Linked DNA regions of Macaca mulatta. The protein of the gene in region 3 purifies or fractionates together with the protein of the main gene of each other region. This does not show direct contact. Links are inferred from orthologs where the notes say so. Each region holds a gene or a part of one and is shown on either strand. Other genes may lie near its edges.

What was found.
Region 1: the proteins of ISG15 (region 3) and HERC5 purify together in Homo sapiens (affinity purification with western blotting; 3 studies listed by BioGRID, with this or other methods). This does not show direct contact. The link is inferred for Macaca mulatta from reciprocal best matches to the Homo sapiens genes ISG15 and HERC5.
Region 2: the proteins of ISG15 (region 3) and VCP purify together in Homo sapiens (affinity purification with mass spectrometry, with the first as the bait; 3 studies listed by BioGRID). This does not show direct contact. The link is inferred for Macaca mulatta from reciprocal best matches to the Homo sapiens genes ISG15 and VCP.

Annotation. Positions count from the first base shown.
Region 1 is NC_133410.1:97,784,020-97,788,808, reverse strand, and holds part of HERC5 (E3 ISG15--protein ligase HERC5), read right to left. Parts: intron 3,923-4,789; coding exon 3,831-3,922; intron 3,600-3,830; coding exon 3,469-3,599; intron 514-3,468; coding exon 368-513; intron 1-367.
Region 2 is NC_133420.1:64,668,710-64,673,045, reverse strand, and holds the end of VCP (transitional endoplasmic reticulum ATPase), read right to left. Parts: intron 4,257-4,336; coding exon 3,948-4,256; exon of another isoform or gene 3,891-3,947; intron 3,760-3,890; exon of another isoform or gene 3,675-3,759; coding exon 3,519-3,674; exon of another isoform or gene 3,441-3,518; intron 2,398-3,440; exon of another isoform or gene 2,375-2,397; coding exon 2,220-2,374; intron 2,065-2,219; coding exon 1,959-2,064; 3' UTR 1,405-1,958; downstream 1-1,404. UniProt on the Homo sapiens protein: Necessary for the fragmentation of Golgi stacks during mitosis and for their reassembly after mitosis. Involved in the formation of the transitional endoplasmic reticulum (tER).
Region 3 is NC_133406.1:239,667,412-239,671,552, reverse strand, and holds ISG15 (ubiquitin-like protein ISG15), read left to right. Parts: upstream 1-2,018; 5' UTR 2,019-2,104; coding exon 2,105-2,107; exon of another isoform or gene 2,108-2,205; coding exon of another isoform or gene 2,206-2,208; intron 2,209-2,622; coding exon 2,623-3,117; 3' UTR 3,118-3,174; downstream 3,175-4,141.

The DNA of each region.
Region 1 (4,789 bases), on a different chromosome or scaffold from region 3:
TTGATTGCTCATTATTCTGAGGGTTTTATATGACTGTGGATCAACTTAACCAGGGCAACCAGCCACCACAGAATTAGTTAAGTCTCTTGCAAACTGGAATGAGAGCTGCATATGCCTCTGAATCCATTGTGTATTTTATCATTTAAATTCACATTAATCCTAATCTGAAGGAGTAATACAGAATAATTATTTTGCCTCAATAAATCAGACTGACTCTTGAATTGTTTACCAGTAAAAAAATGAAACCAATATTTAGAGAAACTCCCTTCATAGTCATATACTGCTTTCTTTGCCACATTACCCAGTTAGAAAAATCATTTTCTCTAAAAAGATACTATGCCAAACCCTATGTTCCTAAAGAATTTACCAAGTTTGAGTTCTTCACTTGATGATACTTTCACAGGAAGCGGTATCAGCTGGTCAAGTGTTCCACCGTTTCCCAGTTGTCCGTCTTTTCCAGAACCAAAGGAAAAGACCTTTCCGAAATCAGAAACATAGGCAAGCGTGTGCCACCTATTAAATAAAAGCACATATGGTCAATCCTTAATTATCCACAATGATGAGAGTGTTTAGCAATACAGTAAATTGCCAAAACTATGTTACCCAGTGAAAGTGAAACTAAACATCTCCTAAAGGATGAAAACCATCTGGAAACCAAGAAATCAACATGTACCTGAAAAGACTGTGGAACCCAAAGGCCACTCAAGACCATGATGTCATACTTTGGCGAATGGTGTTCCCTTTGTTGGAACAAGCACCTCCCCTTGCCCTCTGCTCATTTTTCAACTTCAGTTTGAGTCACCGTCACTTGGAAACCATCTGAGTCCCTTCTCTTCCCATCCTGGAAGACTCAGTTGAGTTCCCATTTAATTTCTCAAAGACCTTTACCACACTGATTTCCTATTTTGCTTGTTTGTATCTCCACTATACTGTTGTGTAGCAAGGAATCTGCCTTGCCCAGAGAGGTCTGGCTGGTGCCCAGTTCCTGGGAGGTAACCTCTAAACCCACAGAATTTCCCAAGCCCTCAGACCTACAGGAGGGCAGAGCTGGAGATTAAGTTCAACTACCTGGCAATGATTTAACCAATCATGCCTCAGCAATAAAATCCCAATAGAAATCCTCAATCTAGGCTGGGTGTGGTGGCTCATGCCTGTAATCCTAGCACTTTGGGAGGCCAAGGCAGTAGGATACTTTGCGCCCAGAAGTTTAAGACCAGCCTGGTCAATATAAGGAGACCCTATCTCTACAACAAATTTAAAAATTAGTTGGACACGGTGGCACACACCTGTGGTCCCAGCTACTCAGGAGGCTGAGGCAGGAGGACTGCTTGAGCCTGGGAGGTCAAGGCTGCAGTAAGCCATGATAGCACCACTGCAGTCCAGCCTGGGTGACAGAGTGAGACCTTGTCTCAAAACAAACAAACAAACAAACAAACAAAAAACAACTCTTGACTTAGGTGAACTTCTGTGACTGAATGGCAAATTATGTACATCCTGTACTGTCTCCAAAAAAAAAAAAAAAAAAAAACCAGAAAAAACAAAAACAACTCTCAACTTGGGTGAGTAAATTTCTCTGATTGGTTGGCAAATTCTGTATGTCCTGTCACATTATCAGGCCAGAAGAGATAACACCATCCATCTCCTCCAAGGGGAGATGACAGCCACAAGCTCAGCATTTGGAGCCCTCCTAGACCCTACCCTTATGTTTCTTCCTTTCACTGGTACTAATTTGTATCCTCTTCTTGGAATAAATGTGACTATGAGTATAATAGCTTTCAGTAAGTTCCCGAGTCTTTCCAGTGAATTGTCCTGTTAGTAGGGGTATTGCCCTGATGTGCATTAAGACAGATCTCCAACTTGCCTCCTTCTCTTGTAACACATGCTACTCAAAAGGATTGTATGTAATGAAGAATCCAAAGAGGTAATAAGACTGCTTTGGTTAAGAGATACTGAATGAGGTATCAATATTGAAGAGATGTTTGTTTGGTGAACAGACTCATATTCCGATAATTTGGTCTACCTTAATATTACCCATCTATGTAATTCTACTCCAAGATTATAAGAAAATCAGACTGAAAGTATGCATGTTAGTTTTTTACAAGAATGGTTTCAGTAAACTAACAAATGAACCCAACATTCAAATACAGTCTGAATTTTGCTCTATGTTTAGTGAGGGAAAAACTGCCCAAAAGAGTAGTGTATACGGGGGAGAATTTTTTTTTAACCCCATCAACTCCCAATATCCCCCTGGCAAGACGTGCACTGATATATCTGATGACCAAAAAATTAAATAGTGGCATGGTGGCTCACCCCTGTAATCCCAACACTCTGGGAGGTCAAGGCAGGCAGATCACCTGAGGTCAGGAGTTCAAGACTAGCCTGGCCAACATGGTGAAACCCCGTCTCTACTAAAAACACAAAAATTAGCCAGTTGTGGCCGGGCACGGTGGCTCACGCCTGTAATCCCAGCACTTTGGGAGGCCGAGGCAGGTGGATCACAAGGTCAGGAGACAGAGACCACCCTGGCTAACACGTTGAAACCCCGTCTCTCCTAAAAATACAAAAAATTAGCCAGGCATAGTGGCAGGCACCTGTAGTCCCAGCTACTCAGGAGGCTGAGGCAGGAGAATGGTGTGAACCTGGGAGGCGGAGCTTGCAGTGAGCCGAGATTGTGCCACCGCACTCCAGCCTGTGCGATGGAGCGAGACTCCGTCTCAAAAAAAAAAAAAAAAAAAAATTAGCCGGTTGTGGCAGTGCACGTCTGTAATCCTAGCTACTCCAGAGGCTGAGGTGGGAGAATCACCTGAGCCTGGGAGGTGGAGGTTGCAGTGAGCTGAGCTTACATCACTGCACTTCAGCCTGGGCGACAGAGCAATATTCCACCTCAAAAACAAAACAAAACAAAACAAAACAAAAACCTTTAAATAAACCAAGGAGTCTGAGCAAGACATTTTACCTTTATTTTCTAAAAAAGAGCTGTGAAAATTAAACTTTTCAGGAATATTTCACTCAAACCATCACTGACTATGTCTTATACTTTACCATGATCAGCGCAGGCTACAGTGAAAGAACTCTGGTAATTAAAAAGTATGCTGGCCGCAAGGCATTGTGAGAGAGGGTGATTACATTAATGAATAATCCTTTGTGATTCGCACTTTACTTTTCCCAAATAAACAATGACTTATTTTTCTTAAAGACAAAAGTGCACCTGAATAGTTACAAACGTATTTTCACTAAGGAGACAGCAGAAAGTGAACTGCATCTGCTCATTAAAAACAACAACAAAGAAAACAACCATGTATAGTAAAAGGGGTATTACGTTTATCTAAATAATATAAATTAAGCATTTTCACTGATTTGAAAATGTATGATACTTAAATCTCAAAGAAACTGATAGAAATTTTATTAAATTACTATCTAGTTTACTGTATTCATTTTATCAATTTTCATTGATACTTTACAACTTACCTTCCACATGCTATCTGAGTCACTCTATTTCCAACAAGCTCAGCCACCAAACAGGGTCTTAGCTCATTCTGTGTTGAATTATGACCAAGTTGCCCATGTTTTCCAGCACCAAAAGTAAACAGCAGTCCATCCTAAGGAAAGGGAATGTCATATCAGATGCTAGAGAAATAAAATAAAAAAGTAGTATTCACTGATGCAAAGTGAATAACTAATAAAAAGCACTGTCAAAGTAAAGTTCCTAAATATCAGAAGGACAGTCCTACATGTAGGAAGTGATGACCTTTCTTCCCTGGGAAACACTAGCTTCCCATACAAAATGTTCTTCTAAAAATACAGCCAAAAAGAGACAAGGGTACACCCACCTGTGTGAGCAGGGCACTGTGAGAGCCACCACAAGCGAGAAATTCAACTTTCTGATTGTCTAGTGCTTCAATAAGGGAAGGAGAATCTTTACCTATGTAAGGAAAAAAATAGCTGAAGTGACCAAAAGGAAATGCTGAGTTTCACCCTGCAGTTACCTGGACTGCTGCTTCTCAACCCAGCAACAACAGTTCTCGTGATATTCTGACAAGAAAGGCTCTATGTTGCCATGTTTAGGATCAAGTTCTATACCTCAGGGTGAAGGTGGGACCAGTGGCCAAAAGGGTCACACTTAGGGGCACCCACCTGTGAAAGGGTCAAACCACGTCCTAAAGCCTGTTCTCAATTCTGACTTCATTCACTTTAATTGCAGCACATTAGATATTTCCAATACCCATCTAGAATTACTTTTAATGAACATAGCAATTCCTCTTTTTTTTTTTTTTTTTTGAGACGGAGTCTCGCTCTGTCGCCCAGGCTGGAGTGCAGTGGCCTGATCTCAGCTCACTGCAAGCTCCGCCTCCCGGGTTCACGCCATTCTCCTGCCTCAGCCTCCCGAGTAGCTGGGACCACAGGCGCCCGCCAGCTCGCCCGGCTAGTTTTTTGTATTTTTTAGTAGAGACGGGGTTTCACTGTGTTAGCCAGGATGGTCTCGATCTCCTGACCTTGTGATCCACCCGTCTCGGCCTCCCAAAGTGCTGGGATTACAGGCTTGAGCCACCGCGCCCGGCCCTCCTTTTTCTTTCAAATTATCTACTAGTGTCATCACCTCACACTACCTCTTCTTTTCTTCATGATTATTTTCATGTCAAAGCACTCAGAGATTCAGCCAAAGTAGTTTAACGGCTGCTTTATTCTCTTCTCTCCTTTGAATATTTTTCTAACACTGACTTATTGGCTATTCTGTGTAATGAGCATTGCACTGTGTCAGAGAGAAATGAGTAACCAGTGATCCAGGGAA
Region 2 (4,336 bases), on a different chromosome or scaffold from region 3:
CTCAGGTGATCCGCCCGCCTCAGCCTCCCAAAGTGTTGGGATTACAGGCACGAGCCACCGCGTCCAGACTAGGACAGATTTTTCTTCTGGTGCCTTGGACATTAAAAATTTGACTCCATGACCACAATGTTGACTCTGTGTGTGAGCATTGTATGTGTGCATAAAAATGTTGAAAGTTCCTCAATAAATGAAGAGACATCTGTTTTTTCTACACGTGCATTTGTGAAGAATAAATCGTTCTCAAGACCCCGTCTCTTTGGGAGACAATGCAGTGGTTACCGTAACAGTTTTTGAACCATCTCATCAAGACTTAGGTTTTCTGTCACAGTATTACAGTTGACCACAGTTATAAAGCTAGATGCCCACAATTACCAAGCATAGTGACAAGCATTTATACATTTCACTTTCTGACCTATTTCTTTATGAATATGTTTCATCTGCTCATCACCATTATATCTGTGCAACTGTTGTTGGTATACCTGAGTGTTTACCTTGCAAAAACGTTACTATTCCCTATTTTATCGTGTAAAGTAGCCTATGAAATGTTCTGTCGTGTTGTTTCTCAAATAAATATGCTTTTTTAAATGTAAGTAAATTTTTGAAGAATGTTTAGCATTTCTTCCAGAATTGTATTTTGGGATTTTGACCTTTTGGGATTGTGATTTTCAGAATTTTAGACTTTAGGGATTTTGATCTTTGGAGACTACAGTATTTTATTCAAAATTATGGTGTTCAGGACTGTCTTTTATGTCCCAAACCCAATCAACATATATTTAGTAATTTATTTTCTCTGCACTACTCTCTCTCTGGGTGAGGCATCATTGTACTGACCCCAGAAGCACTAAGTGATTGAAGAGGACAGTCTATTTTCTGTTTGGAAAAAAAAATTCAATACTAAAATCTTATATTAACAAAAAGCTTTTTTTTTTTAAATCAAACAAAGTACATAAAATAAAGGTGGGCACAACGCTAAGTGATCACCAACCAGGGGATGTTTGGGATTTTTAGATGCATTAAAAGGGAGTATAGAGAATATCCACCTGCAAATAAGATTGTATTTTTTTGCAACCCTATGATTTTCAAATGGCTCCTAAACACAGTCTTTGGTCAGGATAAGGGATTCTGCAGGCCTAGCCTTACCGTTCACATCAAATATAGGTGGAGGGATGCCATATTCTCCACATTTGGAGCTCTGTCAGGCTGCTCCCTTTCCACCAGTCCTATCCAGTGATACTGCACACACAGGGTGAGGCAACAGGAGACATCATACTGATGTTGATCAGGAAAGGAAGAAGGTGCAATCTTACTTCCAGGATTTCACATTTGGAAGAATGCCTTGGGAGTGGTGGGTAGCCCAAAGCTCTTCCCAGGAAAAGAAGCAGGCACAGGGCCCAGGACTCAGGCTCCATTTTGACCCAACGTTTATTGTCCTTTTACAACATGTCATTTTTTGGTTTAGAAACTGCTTGTGATTAGTTTTCCAACATTAACTCAAAAGCATGTAAAATAAATCAACCTACTCTCTATATAAACACCCAGCAACTGTGGCCCCTACCCACCTACCCAGGTTGGATAGGGGGAAGGGAGGGCTCGGGCAGCATTGAGTCAAGTGCAGATGCTTTACTGTGGCAGGTGGCAGTAGTGCCTTGGTTCACACCCCACACAGGTCCCCTGCACTGCCCCAAACTACAACAGAAATGGCATAGGCCCAAGGCCCAATTCCCTGTTGGTAATTCACTCTCCACCTACCAAATGAAAATCGCTTTTATTTTTTCGCTTTTGTTTTGTATTTTTGCAACAGAAACCCCCTGTCCAGAGTCAGACTGTAGCTGAACTGTTCAGACTGAAGAATGGAGCAGGCTGTGGGCGCACCCCTGGTCCCTCTCCTGGGCAAGCGCCCCCACCCCCAGGGAACAAGGTCCGGGCAGGCCAGCTCACTGCATGCTGGCCACCACCACTTAGCCATACAGGTCATCGTCATTGTCTTCTGTGTATACACTGCCACCTGTGCCGCCTCCACTGCCCTGACTGGGGCCAGCTCCACCCTGGTTCCCTGAAGGGAATCTGTGTACGAGAGCAAAGCCAAAAAAGACGGTTAGGACAGAGCCTGTGTAAGATTTCCACAACTACCCCTCTAGCTTCCTTAGGACTCCCATTCCCTTTTTGGTGTAGGTTCCCAAAGTAACTTAAGCACTGTCTAAGGCTCCCAACCAAGTTACCTGAAGCTGCCAAAGCCCCGACTCTGCTGAAGGGTCTGGGCGAACATCTCGTACTTCCGAATGTCATTGTCACTGACAGAACGGCGCGCAAAGCGCATGGCTTCTTCAAAGTGATCTCGACGGATCTCAGGCACTGGATCATCCTCTTCTACCTCCTATAGTTGGTAAACACAGATCACTAGGGCTTAATACTTTAAAATGCCAATAGTTTTCAGTGTTTACCACATTTGGATTACATCCTACCCAGTGGTCTCACTTTCAGTGACATATATACTCTAAAATATACTCAGGGTTTCCCAATGATTGCAATCCTACTACTAGAGCACATTATTTGGGCTGCTTATTCCCTTTATTCAAATTATACTCTCTTCACAGCCCAGCTCAAAACCTATCTCTTCCATTGAGAGGCCAATTGCTGTGACTTATGAGACTGCTTCCTAGGATTAGTTCATAAGTAGTTTTAAGCTTTTATGGGAGAGAGAAGGTCACAGACCCTTCAAAACAGAAAGAAAGCCATTTATTTGCTCATTCATTAAGTCCCATGTTTGGAACTTAATGAATTAATTAAGGGTAACACAGGACATAGTGGAAAACAAGTGAGATGACAGAGATCCTACCTTTATGGAGCTTACACACACATGAATTTGTCTTTTCATTTTGGGAGGACTGTGGACCCCATCCCTTCCCCAACCATCAGGGACAGGTATATGGGTCTCATCTCAGTTCAAAACCTTGCTCTGCAGCTCACGCCTGTAATCCCAGGACTTTGAAAGCCCAAGGCGGGCGGATCACAAGGTCAGAAGATCGAGACCATCCTGGCTAACACGGTGAAACCCCGTCTCTACTAAAAAAAAATACAAAAAACTAGCCGGGCGTGGTGGCATGCACCTGTAGTCCCAGCTACTCGGGAGGCTGAGGCAGGAGAATGGCTTGCACCTGGGAGGCGGAGGTTGCAGTGAGCCGAGATCGCGCCACTGCACTTCGGTCTGGGCAACAGAGCAAGACTTCGTCTCAAAAAAAACAAAAACAAGAACAAAAACCTTGCTCTGTTTGGTGCACTCTCATACTTTGATTTCCCTCATGGAGCTTGGTTTAGACTGAGAATGGAGCCTGCCCATCTCTTCTCGGCCTTATTCCAAATTGAATGGATTCACCTCAGTATTCTTTATCTTTGATGCCCTATTAACATTCTTCTCAGATGATCTTTTCAACAACTTCTACTCTCAACTCTAGGGCATGGTGGTGGCTGCTGCCTGGCTCCCCATGACTGGCACATCTGGGGAAAGGATACAGACTCACCATGGCTGATGGGTTTGTCTGCCTCTCTCGTTCTCGCCTAATCTCACTTTCGATGGATTCACGGATGGCCAGCTTGCAAGCACGCTGGCAAATCTCTGTAAGGTCAGCTCCAGAGAAGCCATTAGTCATTTTAGCCAGGAACTCCAAGTCCACATCCTAAAAGAAGCAGCAGAGCTACCTTAGCATTTAGCCTCTTCTCTCTTGAGATACACAGATCTTTGGGCCATCCAAGCACTCCCAACTAGTTTGCCCCTTCTTTGGCCACCCCATTTTATTCCTGATTCTAGATTATCTTAATACCCTCAAAAATTCTACCTTCCCTTTAGACCAACCCTAACCCCAAAGCAATCTTGTCCAGAACCCAAAGAGCACTCTATACCAGACTGAGGACTCATACAAGTCTCCCACAGCCCATGATCCTGCACCTGCCTTGGCAACTGGGGACTTGCGCAGGTTAGCCTTGAGGATGGCAACACGTGACTTCTCATCAGGAAGTGGGATGTAGATGAGCTGATCAAGACGGCCAGGTCTGAGGATGGCAGGATCAATGATGTCAGGCCGGTTGGTAGCGCCAATGATGAACACATTTTTTTTTGTGGACATGCCATCCATTTCTGTCAGGATCTGGTTGATGACTCGGTCAGCAGCCCCACCACCATCTCCAATGTTACCTCCACGAGCCTTGGCAATTGAATCCAGCTCATCAAAGAACAGCACACATGGAGCAGCTTGGCGGGCCTGTAGGAGGAATGGATTGATTCAAGCATTAACAAAACTAGATCTCTCGGCCAAACGTGGTGGCTCACACCTGTATTCCC
Region 3 (4,141 bases):
ACACGAATCGGTGCCTCAGTCCTTTTCATGGCTGCGTAATATTCCGTCCATCACTGATGGACATGTGCTCCGTTTCCACTACTTGTTTATTGTAAACTGTGCTGCCATGAACATTTGTATACAAATATTTGAACACCTATTCTCAATTCTTTTGCACACATGCCTAGGAGTGGAATTATTGGGTTACCGATAATTCTGTTTGACGTTTTGAGCGTCACAGTGGCCACACGGTTTACATTCTCAACAGCAATGCACGTACCAGGACTCACTCCAACTTCTGTGTGTATTCTCCAATGCTTGTTACTGTCCTTTATGTTTATTTTATATTATTTTTTGAGACTGTCTTGCCCAGGCTGGAGTGCATTGGCACAATCTTGGCTCACTACAATCGCTGCCTCCTGGGTTCAAGGGATTCTCCCGCCTCAGTCTCCCAAGTAGCTGGGATTACAGGTGTGTGCTACCACGCCCGGCTAATTTTTGTATTTTTAGTATAGGTGGGGTTTCTACTAAAAATGTTGGCCAGGCTGGTCTTGAACTCCTGACCTTAGGTGATCTGCCCGCCTCAGCCTCCCAAAGTGCTGGGATTACAGGCATGAGCCACCGTGCCCGACCTGTCCTTTATTTTTATTATTGCAGTCATACTAGTAGGAAATAGCATCTCACTGGGGTTTTGATTTGCATTTCCCCAAATCATGATGTTGAGCATCGCTTTACAGCCGTTGCTATGTCATTGGAGAAATGTCTATTGAAGTCTTTTGGCCATTTGAAAATTGAGTTGCCTTTTTTTTTTTTTTAATTGAGTTGTAGGAGTTCTCTATATGTCCTGGATGCTGTGCCCTCATCAGATAGATAATTTGCAAATATTTCTTCCCATTCCGTGGATTGTCTTTTCACTTTCTCAGTAGTGTCCCAGAGTTCATTTTTGTAGAAAATACAAGATAGGTCTCTTTTATTAAAAAACAATCTGAGGCCCGGGCGCAGTGGCTTACACCTGTAATCCCAGCACTTGCAGAGGCCGAGGCAGGTGGATCACTTGAGCCCAGGAGTTCGAGACCAGCCTGGGCAACATGGCGAGACCCCAATCTCTACTAAAAATACAAAAAAGTAGCCGGACCCCTGTGGTCCCAGCTACGTGGGAGGCTGACGTGAGGGGATCCCTTTAGCCAGGGAGGTGGAGGCTGCGGTGAGCTGGGATTGCACCTCTGCACTCCAGCCTGGGCGACAGAGTGAGACCCTGTCTCAAAAAAACAAAAACAACAAAAAACACCAAACCTGGGCAAATACTGCCCTAAACCAAGTGTTGTCATCTCTGGGGAGTTTGGAGGTTTTGTTTCTGAATTAACCATAGAGGTGTTTTCCATGTTTACTGTTTGCAAGTTGGTAAATGGAAAATGAAACCATTAGTTCATGTGAAGGCTTTAGCGCTTTTTTTTTTTTTTTTTTTTTTAACAGTTTCACTCTTGTTGCCCAGGCTGGAGCGCAATGGCGCGATCTCGGCTCACCGCAACCTCCACCTCCCAGGTTCAAGCGATTCTCCTGCCTCAACCTTCCCAAGTAGCTGGGATTACAGGCATGCGCCACCAAACCTGGCTAATTTTGTATTTTTAGTAGAGACGGGGTTTCTCTGTGTGGGTCAGGCTGCTCTCAAACTCCCGACCTCAGGTGATCTGCCCACCTCGGCCTCCCAAAGTGCTGGGATTACAGGAGTGAGCCACGGCATTCAACCAGCTTTAGTGCATCTTGTGAAGGACCTGGAATGCTCGATATTTAGGTGTTTCCAGGGTGTTGGGTGGGGGTGGGGATGCCGTCCGCCGTCCTGAGTCCCCGGCCCTGACAGTGCCTTTGAGACCCTGCCCACCCCCTTCTGCTTTTCCCCGTCTTTCGGCCATTCTGTTTTGTTTCTTCTGCTCACTCTGGGGCATGCCTTGGGAAAAGGAAACCGAAACTTGGCCACCGGAGCAGGCTCGCGCGGCCACGCCCCCTGACGTGTGTGGCTCAGGCTTATAACAGGGCTGGCTGCTGCCTGCAGGAGCCGGCAGTTGAGAGGCAGTGAACTCATCTTTGCCAGTACAGGAGCTCGTGCCGCGTCCCACAGCCCACAGCCATGGTAAGGGAGATGTCACAGGTGTGTGTGTGTTGGGTGGGGGGGGCCTCTGTGCCAATCAATTTTTGTCTCCCCCAGCCCGTGGCCCACAGCCCACAGCCATGGTAAGGGAGATGTCACAGGTGGGGGCTCGGGGGGGGGCAGGCCTCTGTGCCAGTCAATTTTCAGCTCCCTCCCCCAGCCAAGGTCTCCCAGGGTTGCAGGGAGAGCAGAGCTGCTTAGAGCTCGGCCAGGTTCTAAGTGTGCTCCTGAAAGCAGGTCACCCCTGAGATCCTCAGGGTGGGCACAGAGGGGCACCCTAGCAGGTAAAGGGAGGCCACGGATGGCTGTGGGCAGCTGGCCTTCTAGTAATGACCCCTCAGTGCCTTCTGTGCCTGGGGTCCCTGCTGATGGGATGTAGAGGACAAACAGGAGGAAGCACTGTCCCTGGGCACAGGAGCTCGCCCAGCAGCCAGGGCCTTGTGTGTCGTGGGCCTGGGACTGGTGCGGCAGCCTCTGAGCCTGTGTAATGTCTGCAGAGCTGGGACCTGAAGGTGAAGATGCTGGGGGGCAACGAGTTCCAGGTGTCCCTGAGCAACTCCATGTCGGTGTCAGAGCTGAAGGCAAAGATCGCCCAGAAGATCGGCGTGCATGCCTTCCAGCAGCGTCTGGCTGTCCACCCCAGCGGCGCCACCCTGCAGGACAGGGTTCCCCTTGCCAACCAGGGCCTGGGCCCCGGCAGCACGGTCCTGCTGGTGGTGGACAAGTGCGATGAACCTCTGAGCATCCTGGTGAGGAACGACAAGGGCCGGAGCAGCACCTACGAGGTACAGCTGACGCAGACTGTGGCCCACCTGAAGCAGCAAGTGAGCCGGCAGGAGGGTGTGCAGGACGACCTGTTCTGGCTGACCTTCGAGGGGAAGCCCCTGGAGAATCAGCTCCCGCTGGGGGAGTACGGCCTCAAGCCCCTGAGCACCGTGTTCATGAATCTGCGCCTGCGGGGAGGCGGCACAGAGCCTGGCGGGCAGAGCTAAGGGCCTCCACCAGCATTCGAGCAAGATCAAGGGCTGGAAATAAATGTTGTAAAGAGAAATGGCTGCCTCTGTGTCTGCACGTGACCCTCCTCCAGCGTCCGCCTCAGACCCCTAGTGAAGTGGCGGGAGGAGTCAGGAGGGAGATCCCAGGGTCCATCCTGGTGACCAGGCCTGGTTGCCAAGTGAAAGGATAAGGGTTTGCAGTTACAGCCTCGAGGGATCAAAATACGGAGCTTCCTCCCTACCAAACTGAAGTAAGACAGCTCTCCCCACCCTTTGGGAAATTAACTTCTAGGGAAAGAAAAAGAGACACAGTTGCTGGAGCCCATCCTGCCCATCCTCCATCTGGGACAGCAGACAGCTTAGGCAGGGACCAGCCTGCTCAAATCAAAAGGCTACGGGGGAGGCTCCCAGTGGGCCCCTGGAAGCTGTGCGGGGTGAGTCCTTGGGGCCTGCCCAGTGGGCTGTGAGGCAGGCTCTCCACAGGAACTGGGGGCCGGGGGCCTCAGCTGTCCCTAGCCCAGCCTGCACAGCCTGCTCCACCTGCCTGGGCTGGGCGAGGGAGGGATAGAGACAGGTCCTGAGTGCTCACATCACCACTGGGGCCAGCTGTAGAAGACAGCCTGGGTGGCTAAGCACATCCCCTCAAGGCTCTGCGTGAATGAGGGGCCGTGGCCAGCAGTGGGGGCGCCTGGAGTTGAGGCTGACACCATCCAGGAAGAAGAGCTTGTCCCAGGTTGGGGGCACCCAATTCAGTACAAGCTACACCCGTCCCCCAACGGTGCACCCTTCTCTAGCTCTCCTACTCCAATTTGCTAAATGAGCCTCCCAGAAGCCAACTGTTGGCCAGGACGCAGCGAGGATGGGGCATGGAGGGACACGCAGAGTCCAGACTCTGGGCACTTGGACCTCAGCTTTCAGAGCCCTCTGGAGGATCCAGCTGGAGACGCAGAGTCCCCCCTCATCTGTGGGGGTCCCTATCCAGGTGGGGAGATCCCAGTCTGGCTGCACCAGGACCACTGTG